Linked DNA regions of Mus musculus. The protein of the gene in region 2 binds, or shares a complex with, the protein of the main gene of each other region. Links are inferred from orthologs where the notes say so. Each region holds a gene or a part of one and is shown on either strand. Other genes may lie near its edges. The genes, in order: Sh3bp2 and Tnks2.

Region 1 (11,608 bases), on a different chromosome or scaffold from region 2:
CTATGGGTGCCACCTACTTGCCCCCACTGTGGTTTCAGCCACCCTGACTGGTCGGTGTTTCAGAACTGGTTCCTCATGTCTATGTCTTGTTTAACCCTAAGGCCAGGAGCTCTGGATTCAGTCCAGGACCCCGGAGCAGGTCCTTGAGGGTGCCCAGCCCTCTCTGGCTCTCAGTTTCACTGACTCCAATAGGATTGACTTATGTTCTCTAGAGAGCCACTGCTGTTTGCCAGGCCACCTCATGGGTAAGGATGCTGAGACCAGGAACACTACACTTCCCCCAGAGACAAAGTGGACACCAGAGAGCCAGGAATCCAACACTGAGCTGTAAATGCTGGGTCTGCATAGTAGGGGAATGGAATAGGCACATACGAGCCCCACACAGGAGTTACAGATAAGTACCGCAGGCTAAGACAGAGTCAGAGCTGGAAGACAGACAAGGACAGAGAGAGATGCTGCATGCACACTTGTACATGACTACATAAGCGGCGTGTGCATCCACACACGTGAAGCTTGCCTGGTACCTCCAGAAAAACCTTTATGGAAGTGATTATAAGTCTAGTCCCCAGGGACTAGAAGGGAGCCCTAATTGCCAAGAAGCCCTCGGGACAACCACCCACCCACCACATCCCTCCACATCCCTCCACAGACCTGGTGTCTAGAGGTAGTTCCTTCTTCTCATGGAAGTGGCCAATTTCCCTGCGTAGCAAGGCCATCCAGCTCTGTGGGTCAGGAACAACCGTAGTTAGTATGTTGTTGCCCAGAATGGAGTTCCACTCCACCCTCTTCCCATCACTGTCTAGCTCTATACAGTAGCCAGCAAGGTCCAGCATAGATCGTGTGTTTCGGACATGAAACCACCCTCATGGGGCTGCGGCTGCCCCCACCCCCCAGCCCATTTCAGGCCATATCCTGTTGGCGTATTCTCATGTGCACAGGCACCTGGCTGCCCATAGACCTCCACCAAGTCTTTCTCTTCAGGATCCTAGCCGCCTGTCTAGAGCTCATGGGAGGTCAGAGCCTCGTAATCAGTGTGGCACTTCAGGCAAGTGCTGCCTGGCTCCTGGGGCCCTGCTACCTGCCCATCACCTTGCGCTCATCCTCAGAGGACGCTGAGAAGAACCATGTTCGGTGCTTCTTGCTGATGTGAATGATCTTGAATGGGAAGACATTGTTGGACGTGGTCTCCTCAGCTGCTCGCATCACTCTGAGGGCACATTGCCAGAAGTCACCAGCTTGTCCACTCAAGAAATGGGCTTATCAACCCCCGTGGCTGGGCTTTTGCTAATTAGTGGGTTCTTCTTCTCCCACCCTTTATCCCCCCACTCCCGGTTTCACCCACTATCACCAGATAGGAGAGAAAGGATTGTAGAGGAAAGGGGTGGGGAATAGGTCTGAATCTAATTTCTTTTTCCTTGTTTCTTCTTTGAGCACGACTACTAACAAACTGCAACTAACCCCCCCTGAACAACTAACAACCATGAACCCCACCTCTCAGGGACTTAGCATTGATATATCCTCTGAAAAATTCCCAGAATTCCAAAGTCACACAATTGCAGAAACTATCTGAAGCTGGGTAAAACCATGCCCCTGTTAGAGCACGAGGCAAATCATAGTCAGCTGCTGCAAAGCAGCCACATAGCCCCACACCTGGGAGTAAGACAAAAACACAGTCTTATAATATATCTGTGCTTTTTTTTTTTTTTTTTAAAGAATCCAAAATTCCAGAATTCTTACTACAAAGCCCACCCCTGAACTGATTCTAGCACTCAGCATCATGACCTGCGGAATATGGGCAGATCTGAACAGTCTCTGGATGCTTACGATCTCAGAGAATACCTAGATGCTTCAGGGAGTTAGCAGAGTATGAGCTCAGGAAGGTGCTGGGTGTCTGAGGACTTCCCAAGAGAACAGAGTGCAGGACTACAATGCTATAAGGCAAAGAGCCTGGGTACCCTACAGCCCCTGAAGCCATAAGAACTCAAGATGACCAATAAGCCAACACGTAGGCTGTCAGAAGCCACAATGGGACAAGCTAATAACTAGCAGGAGATCATCCTGAAGTGGCCTGCTTTGGATTATTATATAATCTGTGACAGGTGAGCCCTCATTAAGCAAGGCTGTGAGGGACTCACTTTAAGAAAGAGTCCTGCTATTAACATGCTTTTCCTGTTATTATTAAACATATATAACAATCACTAATAGGAGCACACCCCTTTGGAGCAGATCTCTGCAAATCTACGAAGATGTGCTATCTTGTAGTGATGCTATATAGACAAATAGATTACTTAAGTCTTAATGATGATCCTATAAGAATTTCTAAAACTATATCTGTGATTATTAAGCTCTTTTATTAATGGGACTGCGATTAGGTCCTTTTCTGATAGTCAAAGCTGCAATGAGAACTCTGTCAGTCTCCCAAGTGTCACCAGTTAATTGCTCTTAGATGGTAACCAGACTTTCTCCTACTCAGAACACATTCCAAAAGGTTGTAAAACAATTAACCAAAGGTCATACATAAAAAGGGAACTAACGATTTATTATAGGTGCTAGGACAGAAAATAAAATATTGACTGGGTTTATCTATGTAAAACTTCACTGATAACTTAGTTATGGTTTTAAACCTTCAGTGACTGTGGAGCTGACAGGTGATGGATGCTTAGCCAGATAATTACTCCTAATGGATATGCATGTAAACATTCCCTGTTGTAAGCTTCTGTTTCAATTTATGATTTGATTTTTTTGTGTGAACTTTCGATGAACCTTGTAACATATGATCATGTATTCTGAAAGATGTATAAGTACTGAGGACAAGGAGATGAGCGAAATCTATAGAGTAGAATTTTTCACCTTTCCTCACTTAGAGTAGAAATATTTTCCCTTTCCCCACTTAGAGAATTCTTCCCTTTCCCCACTTAGGATCTTTTCACTTTTCCCCTTAGATAGCTTTCATAGGAAACTTTTTACAACTTAGTAATAAATTCTATAATCACTTCTCTAAGTGTCTTCCCTTCCTATGACTTCCGACTATCAGACTTCCAACTGGAAGTTGGAGCCCAGCAGTTCCTGCTGAGATAGAACAAAGACTGCATTGCTTAACCCTCCTCTGTTAGGCTACAGGTGTTAATCACCTAAGCCAGCAGTCTTTTAAGCTCAGAAAGCACAAGAAAGTTTTTAGGACTCTTTAGACATTATCATCAGCATTTCAGTATAATTAGAGAGCTAGAAAGCCCCAGGCCCTCAGACTTTAAAGCTATCACCAGAGTCCTTCTCTGTGACTCTACCACTACTCTGCCCCCGGGACGGGAGGCTCCCGGAAGTAGGCATTAGCTCAGGTTATACCTGCCCTGTCTAGAAGCCCTTGAGGGGAAGGAAGTTCATGGATTCTGGCTATCTGGATCCCAGCCCATAATGTAACAGGGAACTGAACTGGAGCCTGGGAAAACCCTAGAGCCAGAAATTCCATGAAGAGCCTGAGTTTAGGATGGCCTGGGATGGATGGAGTCTGGGCTCCCTGGGAAGGGGTGTGGTGAGTGAGGAGCAGGATCAGAGGCTGAACACAACATTTACAGAGTGGTCATTGAATGGGAACTCAGCAAAGTAAGCCACTCAGGCCCTTGGTACCTGAACCCCCAAGAAGCTGCTAGTAAAGACCTCACCCCACACATACTGTCCCACCCCCTGCCCTCAGCAAAGGCCAGGGTAGGTAGGATAACAGCCAGCAAACAGATGAAGGCCATCTCAGACAGTCAGGGATTGGTTCTGTGGTGCAGGGTGAGAGGGAGGGCATGGGAGGTTGGTGAGCAGACAGGATGGACACTCACCTGTTGTAGCCACTCAGTGAGAAGGCACCCTGTGGGGAGGCAGATGTGCTGCTCTTGAAGTAGTAGATGCAGCGCTTGTGGATGATCACAAAGCGGAGGGGCCCTGGGGACAATTCAGTGGCAGAGGTGAGCCACAGAGCCACCAGTTAACTCTACTCTGAGGAGGTCTCCAGAGGTCCTGGGCAACTTGGAAGCAAACCTCTGAGACTGCAGAAGGTAGAGCAGGGAGCTGAGCTGGTATGCTGCCCCTTCCTTGGACTTTCTTTGGGGTCAAATATAAACAAGTTCACTGGCACATGGGCAAGTTTTGGGGCACCATCCCAGGAAAGGCCTGGCCACAAAATCTGGCCCAAAAGGGGTAGATTAAGGCCTCAAGGGACAGTAAGAAAGGGTGGAGCCTGGACCAGAGGCCTAAGGAGGCCATGGCAGCCTTGCTTGGAGCAATAGGGCTATTGAGGAGGTGAGGACCTGACAGGACAAGGAGAGCAGAGCTTAGGCACCCAGAGCCGGCTGGTGAGAGCCATCGAGGTGGAGCTGTTCTCAGGCTCTAGGGCTCCTGCCCAGAACAGCCCCTCCTAACCCTGGGGAAAGGTTATTTATGGTTCTTCCTTGGAGCACATACATCTATACATTGCTATGCACACAGGGTCCAACAGTCCAGCTAGAGCATCCCAGGCAGGCAACACGGGGGCAGGGCATCCCTGGCAGAGGGCATCCCAGGGGCAAAAGGATGGAGTGTCCATGGCTGATCAGAGCCGGGCAAGGCTCTAGCGCTCTATGCCTTCGGCATCCTGACACTCAGCTGGCTCCTGGCCTGCCACATGGGACCATTCTGTGCCACATGACTCACCACCTCACCCACAAGTCACATGCAAGGCAAAAACAGCACTGAGGGACCAGATCTATCAGGCCACCCTGAGGACCTCCAGCCTTGGCTGCAGACTGAAGCACTCATGACTCCTCAGTTTGCCTGCTATACTATGTTGGATCCTGTGACAAGGTCCAGGGTAAGGAACTCATCAGGTTTCCTAGGTGTGCCAGCTGCTAGAAAAGGAAAAGAAATCTCAGGAGACCCACTAGAGCCCTGGAGAAGCAGAGCCGTGTCCTCCCTTTGAAACTCCCATGATCCAGTGACTCACATTTGAGCAGCTGCAGTTGGGTGCCACCCTTCTTATGCAGGTAACCAGCCTTCGCCACACCACCAGGCATGGTCAGCAAATTCTGGGCACCAATGGCCTTCATGGGGACAGGCCACTGCATCTCCTCAGCCGCCATGAAGCTGCAATTGAAGCAAAAGAGACAGGACTCAGCCGGGAGGACAGCGGGGAACAGTTTGGCAGGGGGTCCTGAGAGGGCATGGCTAAGATCTAGAAGGCAACGTGGAGGGTCAGGTCAGTGGAGGAGGACTCTTCATAAGTCCCCAGGCTTCTGAGTGGGGCTCTGGGGGTGACCATGCCACATAGTCAGTCCCCAATCCTCTTGGCGACACACCTGACTCCAGAATTCTGAGCACAGTCCTTTTACCACCGTGAATTCAGCGAGTTCATGGCCCCAGGAAGGCTGGGGCAGTAATGACTGAACTCAGGAAGCCCTAGCCTGGGCATATCAGGCCTTATGCCATAGCTACCCAAGGTTCCAATGCCTGGGCAGCTCACAAAGTGCTTGTCCTAGAGCAGGGGGCACTGGGGTCACCCCCTTGAAAATGGCTGTTCAAGAGCACTGAGGCAGGCAATGAGAACCTTTTCCATCAGATCTGATCTTCTATGGAGAGAAAGTCAGGTCCTGAGATGTCCACCCTTCCTCAGTAACTTCTGTCTATCCCCACTTTGAAGCCCTGAAGTCAGGTAATAGAAGAGCAAGCCAAGAGCCCCCCACTTCCCAGATTTAATAATTTGGGCTCCAATAGTTTGGCTTTCTGGGGGAACTCCAGCCTCAGTTGTTAGAGCTATAAATTGGGAGCACAGGGTGGACTCTGAACACACACACATACACCTTGTCATCAGTGCCATGAGGACCATTTGGCAGGTTTTCTAGTATCCACATTATCAGCCCAGAGTATCAAGACTCAGAGGGTCCTTCCTGTAAGGAACCCCAAGTGCCAGTCACAATTGCCCCCTAACTTGGCATTATTCTGTTGGTACACCCACTCACCCCATCAGGTCCCTCTTTGGACCCTGAGGCACTGCATGAGGGGAAGGTCAGGGATCTGCTCTCAACAAGGTGGGATGGCTCCAGCCATATCCAGAAGGGCAGGCTGCTGAGATTTCTATTACTATAGTGCCAACTCCCCCAAAAACACACAGAGAAAACCCTCCAGCCCCGGGGTGGCCTACGTCTGAAAGCTCAGCATTCAGAAGGCTGAAGCAGGGAAACCTACTGCATCCGAAAATGAAAGGAAAAAGGATGGAAATCAATTAAGCTCTTGTCAACGGCCAGGCTCACCTCACACCGCCAAATATGTGTTAGAGAATCAAGTTCCGTTGGCTACCCCATACACACACACATCACACACACACACACACACACACACACACACACACACACACACACTGAGAGAGAGAGAGAGAGAGAGAGAGAGAGAGAGAGAGAGAGAGAGAGAGCGCATTAACACTCAAATGCACTTGGTCCATGGTCCAGGCCATTGGTCAGGACCATTGGTCCTCGAACCACAGAACCACAGGCGGAGGTTTGGAACAATGGCGCGACCACACCCCCGCGCAGGGCCAAGGGGAACGCGGGTCCGAGCACAGCAGTGGAGTGCGAGGAGGGTGCCCACTCCCATGCCCATGCCGTGCAAGCAGATGGACAGACAGCGCGCCAGGCTCTCGAAGCCCCCTGGCCAGCCAACTCTGGCTGGCCCATGCTCTCCTTTGTTCTGAGTAGACGCCGGATAGCGCCTGGGGCTCCAGGGACTTTCGGTCCCGGGTCGTGGTGCAGAGGGTGGGGGCCCAGGTCTGAGGAGTGGAAGTCTGAACTGAGTGTGGATGCTCAGAACCAGGGCTGGGGCCCCAGATCCCGAGCCCCAGGCAGGATCAGTACTCACGGTGTCCACGCGGCGGGCACAGCCGGCTTCCGGGGGGCGGCCAGCGCCCGCCTTCCCTGTGAGCAGCGACAGGGTCCCGAGGTGGGCCCACCGGCCGCAGCCTCGTCCCTGGAGCCTGTCTCTCGCCAGCCCCAGCTCCGCGGCCGCGACCCTGAGCCCGCCATAGCTCGTAGAGCCCCAGGCCGGAGCTGCCCCTGGCTCCTCCCCTCGCGGGCGGTAGTGTAAGGGCTAGGGGCCAGGTAAGAAAGCGGACCCGCCCCTCCTTACGTCAGTTTCTCCACCCACTGCACTGAGGGTGGTGGGCTGCAATAAGTGGAAACTTGGAAACTTGTGTCTGTATAATCCAGAATTAAGAGCCATCCAGACAAACAAGGAAGCCACCAATGCGAATGAGGAAGTCACGCTCATATTCCCAACATCTGAGGATCCCGAAGTCCCCGCCTGCTGATCTCCACCCAGTTTGCACCTTGGATATGAGCGTCTATGGCACCCTACTTCCTACGCTAGTACCCCATCATGTCACCTTGCCAATGTCCACTCCATGGGTCTCCCTCGGGACGGAATTCCTCCAAGGAGTGAGCCAGCCCTTGGCAGCTCTTACCTACTTGGGCTTCTTTGAATACCTGTCCCAGAAGAGTGTTCCTGGATGCCTAAGGCTGGTAAAGCCCTGTTGACTTCCTAGGCATCCTTCCTTCTCCATCTCCCATCATCACACAGGCTGCCCCAAGATGGACTATCTGTGGCAGAAGGCAGCACACTTGCCCTTCAGAGGCAACTCTGGTATATTCCTCAGGCTTCACTCCCACCAACTGTCTATTCTAGACTCTTCTCCCTGGTGTCCAAGTCTCTATATTAGGCAAGCTCTCCAGGCCCCTTCCTACTATATGCAGCCTTGACGTTCCTACAGCTTTCTCACTCCAAGAGTCCGGCTGCCTGGGGCATTGGTTTCTGGAGGAACATCTTACCCAGAACACTAAGCTGCCTCCTTCTTCCAGCCACCCTGCATTACAGATCCCCGTCTCTACTGCTTCTGAGCAGGCCACACCTCTCCCTGCCTCCCCCAATTTCCCTTCCTCACCTTCCAGCCAACACACCATTCCCATCACATCATTATTCTAAATGCCATGGACACAATCCTGCCGGGGGGGGGGCATTAAAGAGGGTCTCACTCTGTAGCCCTGGCTTGGCTCTACCTTGGCATCCTCCTGCCTCAGCCTCCCAAGTACTGGTATTGCTGCTGTACACTATCACACCTGGCAACACTCTAGCACTTCCTAATCCAGCCCTACCTCTACTTTCGACCTTTTAGATGTGCTTTGCTCTGCTGTGCACAGACTCTGCTCACCCAAGCCCACAAGAATTCACCTTAGTCCAGGTTGTTTCCACTGCCTGCTGCTGCAAGTAAAGTAATTTAGCCATTAAATATTAGATTCCAAGAGCACTAGTCATATACAAACTCGCAGAGCAAATCCAATGAGGCCAGCATCACCTCAATACCCAAACCCAGATGAAGCTGTCACAGACACGAAAGCTACAGACCAATAAGTCTCTGAGGATTTCTGTTTGTGTATCTTTTTTATGACAGAATAGCTCGGGCTGGCCTTGAACTTCTGATTTCCCTGCTTCCATATCCTAAGTTTGAGGATGACCACATCTGGCTTAAGCAGTGTTGAGGACTGAAACTAGACAGGAGTCTACCAACTGAGCCATATCCCCAGCCCCAAATCCCCTTCTGGGCACAGCATAAACATTCTCCACAAGATGCTAGCAAACTGAATCTAACAGCACATAAAAAAATACAATAATAAATAAATCTAAAAAGAAAAAAGAAGGGAAGAAAGAGAGAAAGGAAGGAAGGAAGGAAGGAAGGAAGGAAGAAAAACAGCAGAAGGGAACTCTCTAAACCTAACAAAGGCCATCTAAGAAAAGCCTACAGCTATTACAGCCGGAAGTAAAAGGCCGAACATTTTCAGTTTCCTGAAAGGCAGGAACAAGGCAAGGATCCCATTGCTTCTTTTCAACATTGTATGGAAAGTGTGGCCAAGGAAAGTATATAATAAAAAGAAATTGAATGTCAGGCTGGACAGGCAGTCAGTGGTTAGGAGCCTGACTGCTTTTACAGAGGATCCAGCACCCACAAGGAATCTCACATCTGTCTGCAGCTCCAGCTCCAGGGGACTTGATGCCCTCTTCTGGCCTCTACAAGCACTACATACATTTGCTGTGCAGACACAAGTAAATCAAGTGTCCAGATAAGAAAAACAAACAAACAAAAACAAAACCTAAGCAATGATTACATGGCTTTATGTAGCAAAAATTCCAAGGAAGTTATAAATTATCAGGACTAATAAGTGGGTTTTGCAAGGTAGAAGGATGTGCTAGCAACAAGTCTGGGAACAAATGAGGTTCAGCATTCCCTCTTCTGAGTACCCATGAATAGTAGCTGGTCCTATGTCCCCAGCCTGGGGCTAGTGACCCAGCCTTCCTTCCACCTGACACTGGCCATAGTAGGTTATCACTATCCCCCAAACTTACTTAGCCTGCAGGCCCTGCCCAGAGTGGGAAGCCAGAGTGCCCAGAGTAAACTAGACAGTTGCTTCTGGTGGGTAGTTGGTCTGAGGATTGTGGAAGGGAGCTGAAACAGAGCCCTGCTCTGATGTCTGGAGCTGCTGCAAGGAAAGATGTGCCTACCTCCCCCTGGCTGCATGTTTGGGTGGGGTTGGGTGCAAGAGTTAAGCGGTTTCAGCCCCATCTTGTTTCAACTCAGTGGCCAGCAGGAGACAGCCTAGCTACCACCTTCCTGTGGGCAGAATGAAAGCTTGTGGGCGGCCATTGAACACCTTGCTGGAGAGGATGTCATGAGAGCCAAGTGATACTCTACTTCATCTCTCCTAGGAACGTTCGCACTTCAGAACCGGAATCACAACCCCTCTCCAGATAAGCCCTGCCTGACACCAGGTGACCCTGCTCAGGAACCCAATACCAATCTAAGCTAGGAGCAGAAAGAGGATGTGCCACCTGGGGGGTGGGAGGCGGTTACTACCATGCTTTTCCTGGAGAGTTTTAGCTCAGCCTACAGAGTCCAGCGCCACCTGTGCCTGGGAAAGCTGGAGAGAAACTAAAGAACTCCTGGCTCGCCTGTGAACAGAATGAAGACTCTTAGCCGCCCACTAACCAGACTAGCCACCTCAGTACCCACAGCACCACCCCGGACCCAGGGACCTAATAGCACAATTCAACTCAACTGTCAGGGAACTGACAGTTCATGGAGCAGGGATGCCCAGTTCCCTTCTCTGTAGGAACAGCAACCTTGGTGGGCTGAGCCACCGTGGATGAGAGTTTTGAGGGATAGTATGGAGACATAAGTTCAAACCCCACTTGGCCCTCATCTTCCAATTAGGAAGTCCCTATCAGCAGAGGAGGCATGGAAGAGCCCAGTCCCCTGATAACCTAGCAACAAATCCCCTCCCTCTGTAGGAGGCTGGGGTAGCAGGGTCAGGACTCATTTGCTAGGCTCATTCTGTTTTGTGGATCCTTTTGCTTGTAGCTGCAGGCCTCTCCCCGGCCCCACACCAGACCTTTGCAAGTCAGTGGTTGTGGCTAAAGCCCATGAGACCACGTAGAAGGTGTGAGATAATTGTTTGCATGTGTGTATGTGGACATGCATTTGAGCCTGTAAGTTTATGTCTGTGCTTGCATGCACACCAGGAAGGCTGGACACCTGCCACACATCCTCCAAGTCAAGTCTCTCTGCTTCTCTATACATCTTCCTCCCTCCCCTTCTCTCATAACTGGTCTTGATTCAGGTAACACTGTTTCCAGAGGCTGCTAGAGGATATGGACTGGGCCACTCAATAAAAACCACTCTGTGCCACAAAGTCAGCCAGAACAAGTTCTGTGGCTTGTGCCTGCCCTGGGACCCTGTGAGTCTGCAGAGGTGAGTGGTCATCACCTGCAAGGGTCCATACATTCTTGGTGGCTCTGCACACCTGGTTAACATCACAGGTGTTACATTCACACAACATACATGTATGCACATTGATACATGTGCATATATACATGCATATATGAGCCTATCCATGAGCCCCCGACACCTGTGGATATGTCCCTGCCTATGTGAAGCACACTTATTCCTGTGATCAAGCCGGACTGCTCTTTGTGAAGCTGCAGGGTAAGGCGGGGGTGGGGGTTCTAGCCCAAGGAAAAGGAAAGCAGGTACCACTGGGGCACTTGTGCATACATATGTTCTCATGTACACACATATACACATAATCTCAACTTAACCCTCATCTTACACATATACATGCACATATACTCATTGTGAGGGTTTGAATGAGAATGGCCCCCAAGTGGTAGAACTGTTTGAGAAGGATTAAGAGGTGTGGCTTTGTTCTAGGAGGTGTGTCACTGGGTGTGGGCTTTGAAGTTTCAAAACCCCCACGCCATTCCCAATTAGTCCTTTCTGCCTTGTGCTTGTCAATCAGATGTGAGCTCTCGAGGATTGCTCCAGTGCAATGCCTGTTTACCTGCTACCATGCTTCCTGTGTGACGGTTGCAGATTCTAACCTTCTGGACCGGTGAGCTCCGGGTTTAAGCACTTTCTTTCATGAGTTACCTTGATCATGGTTTTTGTCCCCACAACTGGAAAATAACTAAGACATTTTTGTTCTCATAGGAACTGAACCACACATCCAGACACAATAATCACACATGCACACATACTTATTCATGTGTTCAGACA
Region 2 (11,883 bases):
CTTCCTTCTTATGAGCACACACAGCAATTTGGGGTCACTCCTCTCTAGATTACATAACAAAATGACATGAAACAACTTGAAACATGGGTCATGCTTCTCACATTAAAAAAAAAAGTGTCCTATGGTCATGTAGGCTCAAAACAGAGTTCTCCATGCTAATGAGGTCCCTAGAGGCCTAGAGGGCTTAGCCAATAAGCTTCCCTTCCCAGACATTTCTCCCTGTAAAATGTATTTAATCTCAGATCCACCCTGAGAAGTGGGGAATGGTTTCATGAATCCATTTTCTGCCATGACAATAAACTGCTTTTCATAGAGATCTGATGTGGGGAACCACCAAGAAGGCCTTTGCCTATAGAGCCGCAGCCTAACCTTCTGTAAAAGGCCTCTCTGAGCTCCCAGCCACAATCATCACAGAGCCAACCACCAAGGACAATCATCCCAGCTTGGACAAGCCTGAGCTCCCCCCACCCCCACCCCTGCCTCAGCCCCTGGGCTAGACAAAGTCCCCAGCCCTTTGCCCCCTACTCCACTCTCTGCTCTTCTGAGATTCCCAGTGGCACCTGGATGTCCAACAGCCTGAGAAACACACGGCCCAGGCCTTGTCGCAGGCCCAGGGTTCCCCAAACCAACCCTGGCTTCCCCACACCAGACTGTGCTTTCCCGCCCCTTGAGCAGTACCTCCTCACCTCCCTACAGCACCAGCTCCAGCATTCTCTCTCTTTTTCTTTCTCCCTCCCTCTCCCCTTCCTCCTCTAGGGATCAAAATTAGAGCCTCACACTAGAGTATTTGTATCATAAATAGACTGATGTATTCAACTTTACTGCCCCCCATCTTCACCAAATTATATAGCACATAATTTAATAGTATTGTTACATAATCTGCTGATCTCCAGAAACTTTTCATCTTATAAAACGGAAACTCTATGCACTAGCTGGTTTTGTGTACCAACTTAACACAAGCTAGAATGAGAGAGGAAGGAGCTTTAGTTGAGGAAATGCCTCCATAAGATCCAGCTGTAAGGCATTTTCTCAACTAGTGACCAATGGGGAAGAGCCCAGCCCATTGTGGGCTGCCATCCCTGGGCTGGTGGTCCTGGGTTCTATTAAGAAAGCAGGCTGAGCAAGCCAGTAAGCATCACCCGTTATGGCCTCTACAACAGCTCCTGCCTCAGGGATTCTGCCCTGTTTGAGTTCTTGTCCTGACCTTCTTTTGTGGTGAAGAACATTGTGGACGTATAAGCTGAATAAACCCTTTCCTCCCCAACTTGCTTTTTGGGTCATGGCATTTCGTTGAAGCAATAGAAACCCTAAGTAAGTACTCTATGATCATTAAATAGTCCCATTCCATCCCTTCCCCAATGCCTAACAATTATTCTGTCAATTTGTCCACTTTATAATCTTATGGTATGAATCAGGTTCTATAATAGGACTCTCTGAACCCATCAGCAGTTAAATAATGACACATGGACTTACTAATTTTTTCTTTTTTTTTTAAAGATTTATTTATTTATTATATGTAAGTACACTGTAGTTGTCTTCAGACACTCCAAAAGAGGGCATCAGATCTTGTTACAGATGGTTGTGAGACACCATGTGGTTGCTGGGATTTGAACTCTGGACCTTCAGAAGAGCAGTCGGGTGCTCTTACCCACTGAGCCATCTCACCAGCCCAATTTTTTTTTTTTTAAAGTATAGAATAGAGTTTATTCAGGGCATGGGAGGGGAGTTGAGAAGGTAGTAGACACAGAGAAAGGGGGGATGTGAGGAGAGAGAGAGAGAGAAAGAGGAAGAAGAAGAGGAAGAGGAAGAAGAGGGAGGAGGAGGAAGAGGAAGAAGAAGAAGAAGAAGAAGAGGAAGAAGAAGAAGAAGAAGAAGAAGCAGCCAATCATGAGCACGTGGAAAGAGAGGGGAGAGGGGAATAGGGCGTGGGGTGGGGAAGGGGTGAGAGGACAGAGTGGGAGCAAGAAGGCAAGAGTAAGAGATGACTTATTAATAATTATAAAAAGCCTAGGTCTTTAGCTTGGGCTATCTCCCAGCTAGCTTATCTAGCTTAATTTTACTAAAGAAACAAGATGTGCATGTAGTGGAAAGATCGAGTGAGGTACAGTGAGGAGGTAGCCATCTATAAGCCAAGGAAAAGGGTTTTGAGGAAACCAAAACACCAACCAACATCTTGATCTAACTTTTTTTTTTCGTTTTTCTTTTTTCTTTTTTCCAATTTTCTATTAGGTATTTTCTTCATTTACATTTCAAATGCTATCCAAAAAGTCCCCCCATACACACCCCACCCCCCGCCCCCTGCTCTCCTACCCTCCCACTCTCACTTCTTGGCCCTGGGGCATATAAAGTTTGCAAGACCAAGGGGCCTCTCTTCCCAATGATGGCCAACTAGGCCATCTTCTGCTACATAGCAGCTAGAGACACGAGCTACTGGTTAGTTCATATTGTTCTTTTTTTTTTTTTTTTGGTTTTTCGAGACAGGGTTTCTCTGTGTAGCACTGGCTGTCCTAGAACTCACTTTGTGGACCAGGCTGGCCTCGAGCTCAGAAATCCACCTGCCTCTGCCTCCCGAGTGCTGGGATTAAAGGCGTGCACCCCACCACGCCCCACTTTTTTTTTTTTAAAGGAATTTAAAACATCTATTTTGTGGTGTTTTGCTAAGGCAGCTCTCTGCAGGAATACAAGTGAACCCGTTTTGTCTTTGTAAGCTGGCTTCTCTTACTTAACATTATGCCCTCAGTAATCACCTATGTTGGGGCACAAGATAAGATTCCTTCTTTCCTGAAGCCTGAATGTTCTTCCTTGATATGCATTCATCACATTTCATAGTCATCCATTCATGGAACAATTGGATTGTTTATAACTCTTTGCTTTTGTGAGGATTGTATTATGAACACGATTGCAGAACGATTTGAGATCCTGGTTTCAAACTATTTGACTATATCTACCCAGAAGTAGAGAAGATGGTAGCTTTATGTTGAAATTTTTAATTAATTAATTTTTAATTAATTTTATGTTGGGTGTTTTGTCTGCACCATGTTTGTGCCTGCTGAGGGCCACAGATACCAGGATTGGTGCTATATGATTGTGCACCACCTTGTAGCTGCTGGGAATTGAACTCAGGTCCTAAGTAAAACAGTGCCCTGAACCACTAGACCATCTCTCCAGTCCCAATGTTTAGTTTTGTAAGGAACTACCAAGTGTTTCCTGTAATAATACACATTTTATGATCACATTAAGAGTGCCAAAACGATTCTAATTTGTCCATCTCACCAACATTTGTTGTTTGCTGTTTGTTTGCTTTTAGAACAGCCATCCTAATATGGTTTCTTTGTTAACTTCATTTCTCTAGTAATCAAGTGTTTTAAAAACAAGTTAGGCTGGGCTGTGGTGTTGTACGCCTTTAATCCCAGCACTTGGGAGGCAGAGGCAGACAGATTTCTGAGTTCAAGGCCAGCCTGGTCTACAGAGTGAGTTCCAGGACAGCCAGGGCTACACAGAGAAACCCTGTCTCGAAAAAGAAAAAAAGAAAAAAACAAAAACAGTTAGGGTTGAGGAGATAGATCAGTGAGTAAGTGATGCTGTATGATGTTGTTTAGATACACATATTGGGAGGAAATACATAAGCAGAAATCACTAAATAAAAAATTATAAAAATTGGGAATATATTTGGCAAGTCGATGAAATGAAGAAAAATGAGACAATCATAGTAGTAAGGTTCTAATCCTTAGGTATATTCATGAATAGTTATTTAGTAATAGGGATCAATTTAAATTTACACTAAGTAGTCTAAGAACATAATGGAATAAACATATAAGAAGGTACATTTACTAAAATGCTCAAGAAGTGTCCCTGCTTTTCTCCCACAGAAGTGAGTCAACGCTCCCTAACAAAAACTGGATTTCCTGAAAAACAGGTTAAGTAATTCACAGGGGAAATGCTTGTCAGCGTGCCAAAAGTCAGCACTTTCTTGCAAGCAAAATCTCTGTATTCCTTTCTTTCGGGTTCCTGAAACAAGATGTCACTACTACCTTAAACACAGCTAACATTCTTTCCAGGCTCCGCCCAACAGTTACCTGGCAACAGCCAGGTAGGCCTGGCTGTTTGTCCCCCTTCTCTCTCAGACTCTTCTCCTAACCCCTTTCTCCCTCTCTCCCATCCCCCCTCCCCCGTCTCTCTCCACGTGTTCCTGGCCGGCCTCTCTTCTTTTTCTCTCTTCCTCTGTCCTTCTCTGCCTCTACTCTCTTCTCTACTCCCCTTCCCATGCCCTAAATAAACTCGATTCTACACTACACCCGTATGGCTGGTACCTCAGGGGTAAGAAAGGGATGTTTCAGCATGGGCCTGCCCAGGAATCCTTCCCACCTTACCAGACCTGGCTCTACAAAACACATCCTTGTTGTTGTTGTTTTTTTTTTTTTAATAAAACACAATAAACACGAAAATGAATTGTGCACTTGTATTCTTTGATCAGAGAGAGAGAGAGAGAAACTTCGGAAAACTTTGATGTGTATGCTTTGTATCAGCACCTCGACCACATCCGGTGCAATGCTGATTTATGTATAGATCCTCGTCAGCGCTGAGCTAATAATTTACTATGGGAAGCGGAGCTAATCACAGCCACCCCACCCCCCAATTGTTGCTTTAGAATTGAGATGAACTTTCTTCGCTTTCTTGATTTATCTGGGGGCCGCTCATCCAAACTTCTCAGTAAGCGTAACGGATTCATTTCTGAGAAAACGCTTATAAGAAAAACAAAAGCAGATGCGGAGAGTTAAGGGAAGAGACACTGTAAAGAAGGCAGGAGGGGGAAGGGGTGAGAAATCTCCCAGGGGGAAGGTACGGAAGCAACACTGCAGAGATTTTCACGCTAAAACTTGCACAAGAAAATGCATAATCAGAACAAAACTTCCCAAGATTCGTCTTCGGTGTCTGAGCAATGAAACTCGTCTCGAGAAGTGTAGGCTTTAATAAAAGAAAAGGCAGCAAGACCTCTCGTTTTTAGCAGAGGCTCTGTAAAGATGGCGGTGGGCCGAAGCCCCTTCTCTTTCCGCAGCCAAAGGCTCTCCCTGCACATTTCCCACAAACCCCTCCGCGCGGCCCCGCTTGCCCAAACTGGCCCGGCCGGAGAGCAGCCACTGCGCACGCGCGAGCCGACGTCACGCGCGCTCCCAGGACCCGACCGAGCTGGCAGGAGTGGTCTCGGCCGCTTCCGCCGTCGCGTCGCTTCGGGGCTCGGCGAGCGGGTTCGCGCTGCCTCCACCGCGGTGGGGCAGCCGGGGCTCACGGAGCCGAGCCGGGGGCGCGCGGCGACGCGGCCATGGGACCGTGCCGACTCTGGTGACAGCGGGGAGCGGAGCGGCCCGGGCCCTGAGCGCGTCTCCTGCGGGGGGCCTCGCCCTCCTGCTCGCGGGGCCCGGGCTCCTGCTGCCTTTGCTGGCGCTGCTGCTGGCGGCGGCGGCGGCGGCCCGGATCATGTCTGGCCGCCGCTGCGCCGGCGGGGGCGCGGCCTGCGCGAGCGCCGGGGCCGAGGCCGTGGAGCCGTCCGCCCGCGAGCTGTTCGAGGCTTGCCGCAACGGGGACGTGGAGCGAGTCAAGAGGCTGGTGACGCCCGAGAAGGTGAACAGCCGCGACACGGCGGGCAGGAAGTCCACCCCGCTCCACTTCGCCGCAGGTAAACGCGGGCCCCGCGGCGCCTCCCGCACGCCCCACCTGCAGGCTCGGGCTTGCAGGCCGCAAGCCGCGCGGCGCTGCCCTGTCTCCGACCTTTCCCCAGGACTCTCACCCTGGCCGCCCGCCCTCCTCTCTCGGGGCTCGTGATGAGGGTGGGGTGAGCGTGCTCTCGGGAAGTTGTTTTTGAGGTTATGGGGTTTTTTGTTTGTTTGTTTGTTTGTTTGTGTGCTGGGAGGGGGGAAGCTTTGTTTTGTTTTACTGTATCAACAATACCTGCCCCGACTTCCGGTCTTATTACCCCGGAGGGCCTCTGCACACAAGAAAGGCTTAGTAGACCTTGTGATTTGAAAGAGTAATTATCTCCAAAAAATGGACCCATGTTTGCAAGTTTCATCGACACTCTTAGTAACCCCTTAAGTTCTAGCGGCCGTCATAAACTGAAATTTTAATTTAGGAGTTATTTTATTAGCTATTGGCTCATTAGAGTTAATTGGATTAGGTTTCTGGAGAGACTAAAACCGGAAATGGGCATGTTTGGGAGACCTGAGATCTACTTAGGTTGTGTGTGGGTGGCCTCTGCCTTACTCCCGCACAAGTCGGGATGGAAAGTGAGCTGAGAGACAAGATAGGACACGCACTTGAGCTTGGATCTAGGATTTTGAGTCATCCTGAGATTTATTGTAGATAGTTTGGAGTTACTTTTAACTACTGGGTTCTCTTTGTGGTACCAGCGTGTTGAAGTTTGCTTGTTGAGGTATTTATTTGAAAAGGCCAGGGATGGGAACCAACTTAATGATTATTCATGTTAAGGACAGTTTGTAACTTTTTAACCTCATAATCAAATAAGATCCTCTTAGCCTGGTAACATTTGATACAGTGTGCATCAGAATTGTTTAGCAGTTCTTTATATTTAAAAAAAAATTTTAGTTTCTTGTGTTCCTTAGGGGCAAAAATGGTAGACAAAAGAGTATAAAAAAAGATTTATTGTTTGTTTGTTTACAGGCATTGATTTTACAGTTCTTCCAATTGTAGGTCTGTTTGCTTTGACCTGTCCCTATTTTAAAATGTATGTACTGTCAGAAATCATGCCTCCTTAATTGATTGCCGGTTTGGGAGCAAGGGAAAAGTTTGGGAAAACCACAATTGGGCAGAAGAGAAATTTGCCTGTGGGCACTGAGAAGTGAGAGCATGAAGCCAAATCTCTGTTAGCAGTGTTGCCTTGCTTCAGCTAGTTTGAATTGTCTTGCTTGACCATTTAGCCAACCTATTTGGCAAATGGTCACAACCAAGTGCTAGATAATCCAAAGGGGTAATGTTACTTAGATTATGTACGCTTGATAAAAATAGCCAAGGTCGATCTTAGTTGCCACCTTTCAAGAATTTAATGTATTAGTGAGTTCATGTCTGAAAATAGTAGTATTTTGAGGTGCGGGTTGGGGACTTATGGTGTGACCTTGTTGCTCCCACACCATCCCACCCTCAGCTCTGCTCCAGTATGCCCCTCCCCCACCCACACGGATGGAATATAAGACCTTGCACATGCCAGACAAGTGTTCTGGCCTCTGAATGAGGTAGATTAGACCCTACCCCTGCCTCAACATATTAAGGAATATTTTACATGTATTTTATATTGTTTCTCCAGATTGAAATGGGAATTTAAATATTATAGAGAGCAATTCACCACTCAAAATTCACCTATATTGCCAGTTGTAGGTTGTAAAATTAAGAAGTTAAAATGTAAAAAGGAAAACATAAAATAATTACTAAAGATACTAGGGAGATGGCTCAGTGGATAAAGTACTTGCTTGCCTTGCAAACAGGAGGGCCTGAGTTGAGATCCCTAGCACCCACGTAAAAAGGCAGTTCTGTTGATGCACACTTATAGCCCCACACTAGGAGGTGGAGACAGAAGGATCCGTGGGACTTACTTGAAAAGCCATGAGCCCCAGGGTCAGTGCAGTGACCCTGTCTCAAAAATTAGATGGAGGAGAGCCATCGATGAAGATGCCTGCCCTGCCACCCACTCACACGCGCAGATACACCTAGCCTACCATATACACAGAAAAATAATCACTAAAGAATTGATATTAAGTCACAGTTTTAAGAGTCTTACATTTAAACCCTGCATAAAAAAATAAGGAGCTTTAAAAAAAATGGCTTTGTGAATTTTAAAATCCAAATTATTAGATTAATGTGGCACTAATCACTAATGAATTTATTCCTTTTCTGGATATGGAACTAGAACCTTGCTTGGCCCTACTAGACATATGTGCACCTGCTGAGCTATAGTCTCAATCAGCCCTGGTTTTTTTGTTTTTTGCTTTTTTTTAAAGATTTATTTATTTTCATTTATATGAGTACCCTGTAGCTATCTTCAGACACACACCAGAAAAGTGCATTGGATCCCATTACAGATGGTTGTGAGCCACCCTGTGGTTGCTGGGATTTGAACTCAGGGACCTTCGGAAGAGCAGTCAGTGCACTTAACCCCTGAGCCATATTGCCAGCCCTGTTTATTTTTAAGTAAAGTTGCTCACTAGCATTTTCTTTGTGAGTTACCATTTGTGTTTATGCAAGCATACTTTTGGATCCTCCTCTGCAGGTGGTGGTACTTGATAATTGCCTGACCAAGCAGTTACTTGTGTTTTTATTTTATAGAGAATTCATTCTTTTAGAGAAAAAAAAAAAAAAAAAAAAAGAGCCCAGCAGTGGTGGCGCAGGCCTTTAATCCCAGCACTTGGGAGGCAGAGACAGGCGGATTTCTGAGTTCGAGGCCAGCCTGGTCTACAAAGTGAGTTCCAGGACAGCCAGGGCTACACAGAGAAACCCTATCTCGGGGAAAAAAAAAGAGTTAGTGCTGAGAAAAAAAATTATTAAAATAGCCAGTTAAAGTTTAGAGGTTTAATTAAGGAGTCTAGAGGTTTGTCAGTAGGAATAAGATATATTCATGCTACAGAGAAGGAAAAAGGGTTTTGTATTTCCATCCTGGCCAAAGAAAAAATTAAAAATCAACCTTAATTTAGTTAATCAGTTGTCACTCCTTAGAGGAATTAAGTTCCATTAGTGATAAAGATAATTACAGAAATGGGTATTTTTCTTCCGTTAGCTGCCTTTTATTATTGGGCTAGGTTACATACTTCTGATATGATCTTTAAGAAATCTTTATAAGGAAACAGTTACACAGAAAAGATTTCCTCTTCCATCTCTTCTTTTCCCTGCCTCCAACTACACAGATGCAGGATATGAATTGATTCTTTTCTTTTTCACCAAGTTCTTCTTTGGGGGAGACTTTGGCCTTTCTATAACCACCTTTATGAATGCTTGTTACCTGTGATGAGATGGGAATCATTCTTCTAAAAGTACATATGTTAAATGATTTTACAATGAAGAAGAATACTAAACTAATTTTTCCTTATTCTGATTCTTTTACTCTGCAATTTAAGAAGCCTTTTCTAAAAGCATTTCTTCCAGGTGGGTTCTAAAAGATGCAGAGGGCCAATAGTAGAACAAAGGACACATGAATGCCAAGAGGTGATGGATGGCAAGAGAAGACCTCATAGCAGTAATTTACTGTCTCCTTGAAGATTTCCTTCATGGCTTCTTGGTACCATTCTAGCTTTCTAATACAGGGGTATAGTAAGCAAACATCAACAACTATTAAATGTCTCATCCTCTGAAGGACTCCAGGAAACTAAGACATTCACAGTCCTTGTCCCTTATGGAATTAGCATCCAGGAGCTGGGTTTGGTAATCAGCTCTAGGAGACTAGGTAGGATAAGCTTGAATTTAAAGCTAGCCAGGCGCTGAGACACTGTACAGAGAGAAAGATGAGTGATACAGACTAGGAGATTACTAACCCGTGTATTAGATTACACATTTTGGTAAACGCCGAAACACTGGTATGAAGAGCAAAGGCTCAGTCCCTGCTCTTATGGTGCTTTCATCTTAGCAAAGGAAGAGAGACAGCCAACCAGTGTTAGATGATAACAGGCGGCAGAAATGGAGGCTGCTTACAGGTGGCCTTTTGGGGGGGGGTTGTTTTTTTTTTCCCCCAAGACAGGGTTTCTCTGTGTAGCCCTGGCTGTCCTGGAACTCACTCTGTAGACCAGGCTGGCCTCGAACTCAGAAATCGCCTGTCTCTGCCTCCCGAGTGCTGGGATTAAAGGTGTACGCCGTCCAGCAGGGTGGTGACTTTTAAATAGACAATTACTGAGCTATGTTATTTTTTTGGTTTGTTAGTTTGCTTTGTTTTTGTGGGTGGCGGTATTTGTGGTATGGTTTTTGTTGCTGTTGTTGTTGTTTGCATAGTCTCACTAAGAACCAGCTCCCTTTATATTTGTAATCCTTAAGCCTCCAAAGGACAGAGATTAATTACAGGTGACACAGCACTGAGATCCAGGACTCTGAATTCTGTGAAGTGAAAGGGTCATGAATAAATATCTTTGTTCATCACTGTTTCTCCAGTATTCTAGTTTCTGTTGCTGTGATAATAAAACACCACAACCAGAAGCAACTTGGGAGGAAAGGATTTATTTGGCTTCCACTTCTGTATCACAGTCACTCAAGAAGGGAAGGGAAGGGAAGGCAAGAACTAGAGCAGAAGCTGTAGGGTGTGCTGCTTACTCGCTTGCTCTATATGGCTCCTTACGATAGCTTTCTTACACTACCCAGAACCACCTATCCAAATGGACTGGGCCCTTCATCATCAATCAAGAAAATACCCTACAGCTGGGCAGTGGTTGCTCATGCCTTTAATCCTAGCACTTGGAAGACCGAGGCAGGCAGATCTCTGAATTCAAGGCCAGCCTGGTCTATAGATCAAATTCCAAGACATCCAGAGCTACACAGAGAAACCCTGTCTGGAAAATTCAAAAAAGAAAGGGAGGAAAAAAATTAAAATAAGAAAATACCCTCTGCACTCTACAAGCCAGTCTGATGAAGGTGTTTTCTTTGATTCCCAGATGTCTCTAGCTTGTGTCAACATGACCAAAAACTAACCAGCATAGGAAGTGTTCTTCACAGTGTGTGGTGTCTAACAGTTTGTTATATTATATCATAGTATTAGAAAAAGAGACAGACAAAGAAGAAAATCTACAAAAGAATGTTCTGGTGTGGGCTGCCACATCTGGCCTATGATGTTTGTTTTTTATAGGCTGTTGAGAGTAGAAATGAAAGGGCCATTTCTGAAGGAAACTGTTGAGGGCTGGAAGTTGGGGTGTCAGTGAAGTGTAGAAAAGCTGAGAACATGTTGAGTTAAAGATGCTTTTGAAGGGTGGAGGTGAAACATTGTAGAACTTAGGTAACAAGTCTAGACTGCAGGCTCCAGTTTATGGACTGTGTATCTATGTGATATGCAGGCCACAGGGATAGATACAATCATCTAAAAGGGCAAAAGAAAACTTGGAATCTCACAGAATTTTCCAGTATTTAGATATTGGGGAGAGGAGACAAGCTCCTGAGATATTAAGGGGTTTTTGTTTTGGTGTTTTGTATTTTTTTTTCTTGTATAGGTGTTTTGCTAAGTGTGTGTCTGTGCAACAAGTGTGCTGCAGAGGGAGTCAGATCTCCTGGAACTGCAGTTACATACAGATGGTTCTAAGCCACTTTGTGGGCTCTGGGAACTGAACCCAGGTCCTCTGAATGAGCAGCCAGTTCTCTTAACCACTGAGCTATCTTTCCAGCACCAGGACATCAGCTCTCACTAGAGAGCTTTCCCACATCTCAGTTGATGACCCCTGTTCCTCAGGCCAAACCTCACGGTCATCTATGACTCCTCAATCATTCTCTCTCACATTTGCCCTTTCTTACCGCCTCACCCTACTCTTGCCCCACATTTCACCCATTGGGAAGCTATGCTGACTCATCTCACCTTAGAGTATCCAGAATGTGGCACTCATCAATCTGAGCAACTCAGTTATAATACAAGCCACCATAATCTCATCTACTTTACCTAGTAGCGCTCAACACATCAGCCAGAGGAGCGTGTCACGTCATAACTTAACAGCTTAAAACCGTTTTCCACAGTATTCTTCTTTTTTAAAAAAGTCAGACTTGTGTGGTCTTCAAGTTTTCTGATCTTTTTGTTTCTTTGGGTTGGGTTGGGTTGGGTTTGGTTTTTCAAGAAAGGGTTTTTTGTGTAGCCCTGGCTGTCCTGGAACTCACTCTGTAGACCAGGCTAGCCTTGAACTCAGAAATCCGCCTGTCTCTGCC

The links.
Region 1: the proteins of Tnks2 (region 2) and Sh3bp2 are in contact, whole or in part, in a crystal structure (PDB 3TWR), measured with the Homo sapiens proteins. The link is inferred for Mus musculus from reciprocal best matches to the Homo sapiens genes TNKS2 and SH3BP2. Residues at the interface, in NP_079511.1 of Homo sapiens: Arg525, Ser527, His531, Phe532, Gly535, Tyr536, Asn537, Arg538, Leu560, Asn565, Ser568, Tyr569, His571, Asp589, Trp591, Phe593, Glu598, Lys604; in NP_001116153.1 of Homo sapiens: Leu413, Gln414, Arg415, Ser416, Pro417, Pro418, Asp419, Gly420, Gln421, Ser422, Arg424.

What each region holds. Positions count from the first base shown.
Region 1 is NC_000071.6:34,545,056-34,556,663, reverse strand, and holds the start of Sh3bp2 (SH3 domain-binding protein 2), read right to left. Parts: upstream 7,089-11,608; 5' UTR 7,032-7,088; coding exon 6,868-7,031; intron 5,104-6,867; coding exon 4,964-5,103; intron 3,928-4,963; coding exon 3,825-3,927; intron 1,208-3,824; coding exon 1,090-1,207; intron 723-1,089; coding exon 652-722; intron 1-651. UniProt on the Homo sapiens protein: Binds differentially to the SH3 domains of certain proteins of signal transduction pathways. Binds to phosphatidylinositols; linking the hemopoietic tyrosine kinase fes to the cytoplasmic membrane in a phosphorylation dependent mechanism.
Region 2 is NC_000085.6:36,829,063-36,840,945, forward strand, and holds the start of Tnks2 (poly [ADP-ribose] polymerase tankyrase-2), read left to right. Parts: upstream 1-5,169; 5' UTR 5,170-5,475; coding exon 5,476-5,674; intron 5,675-11,883. UniProt on the Homo sapiens protein: Poly-ADP-ribosyltransferase involved in various processes such as Wnt signaling pathway, telomere length and vesicle trafficking.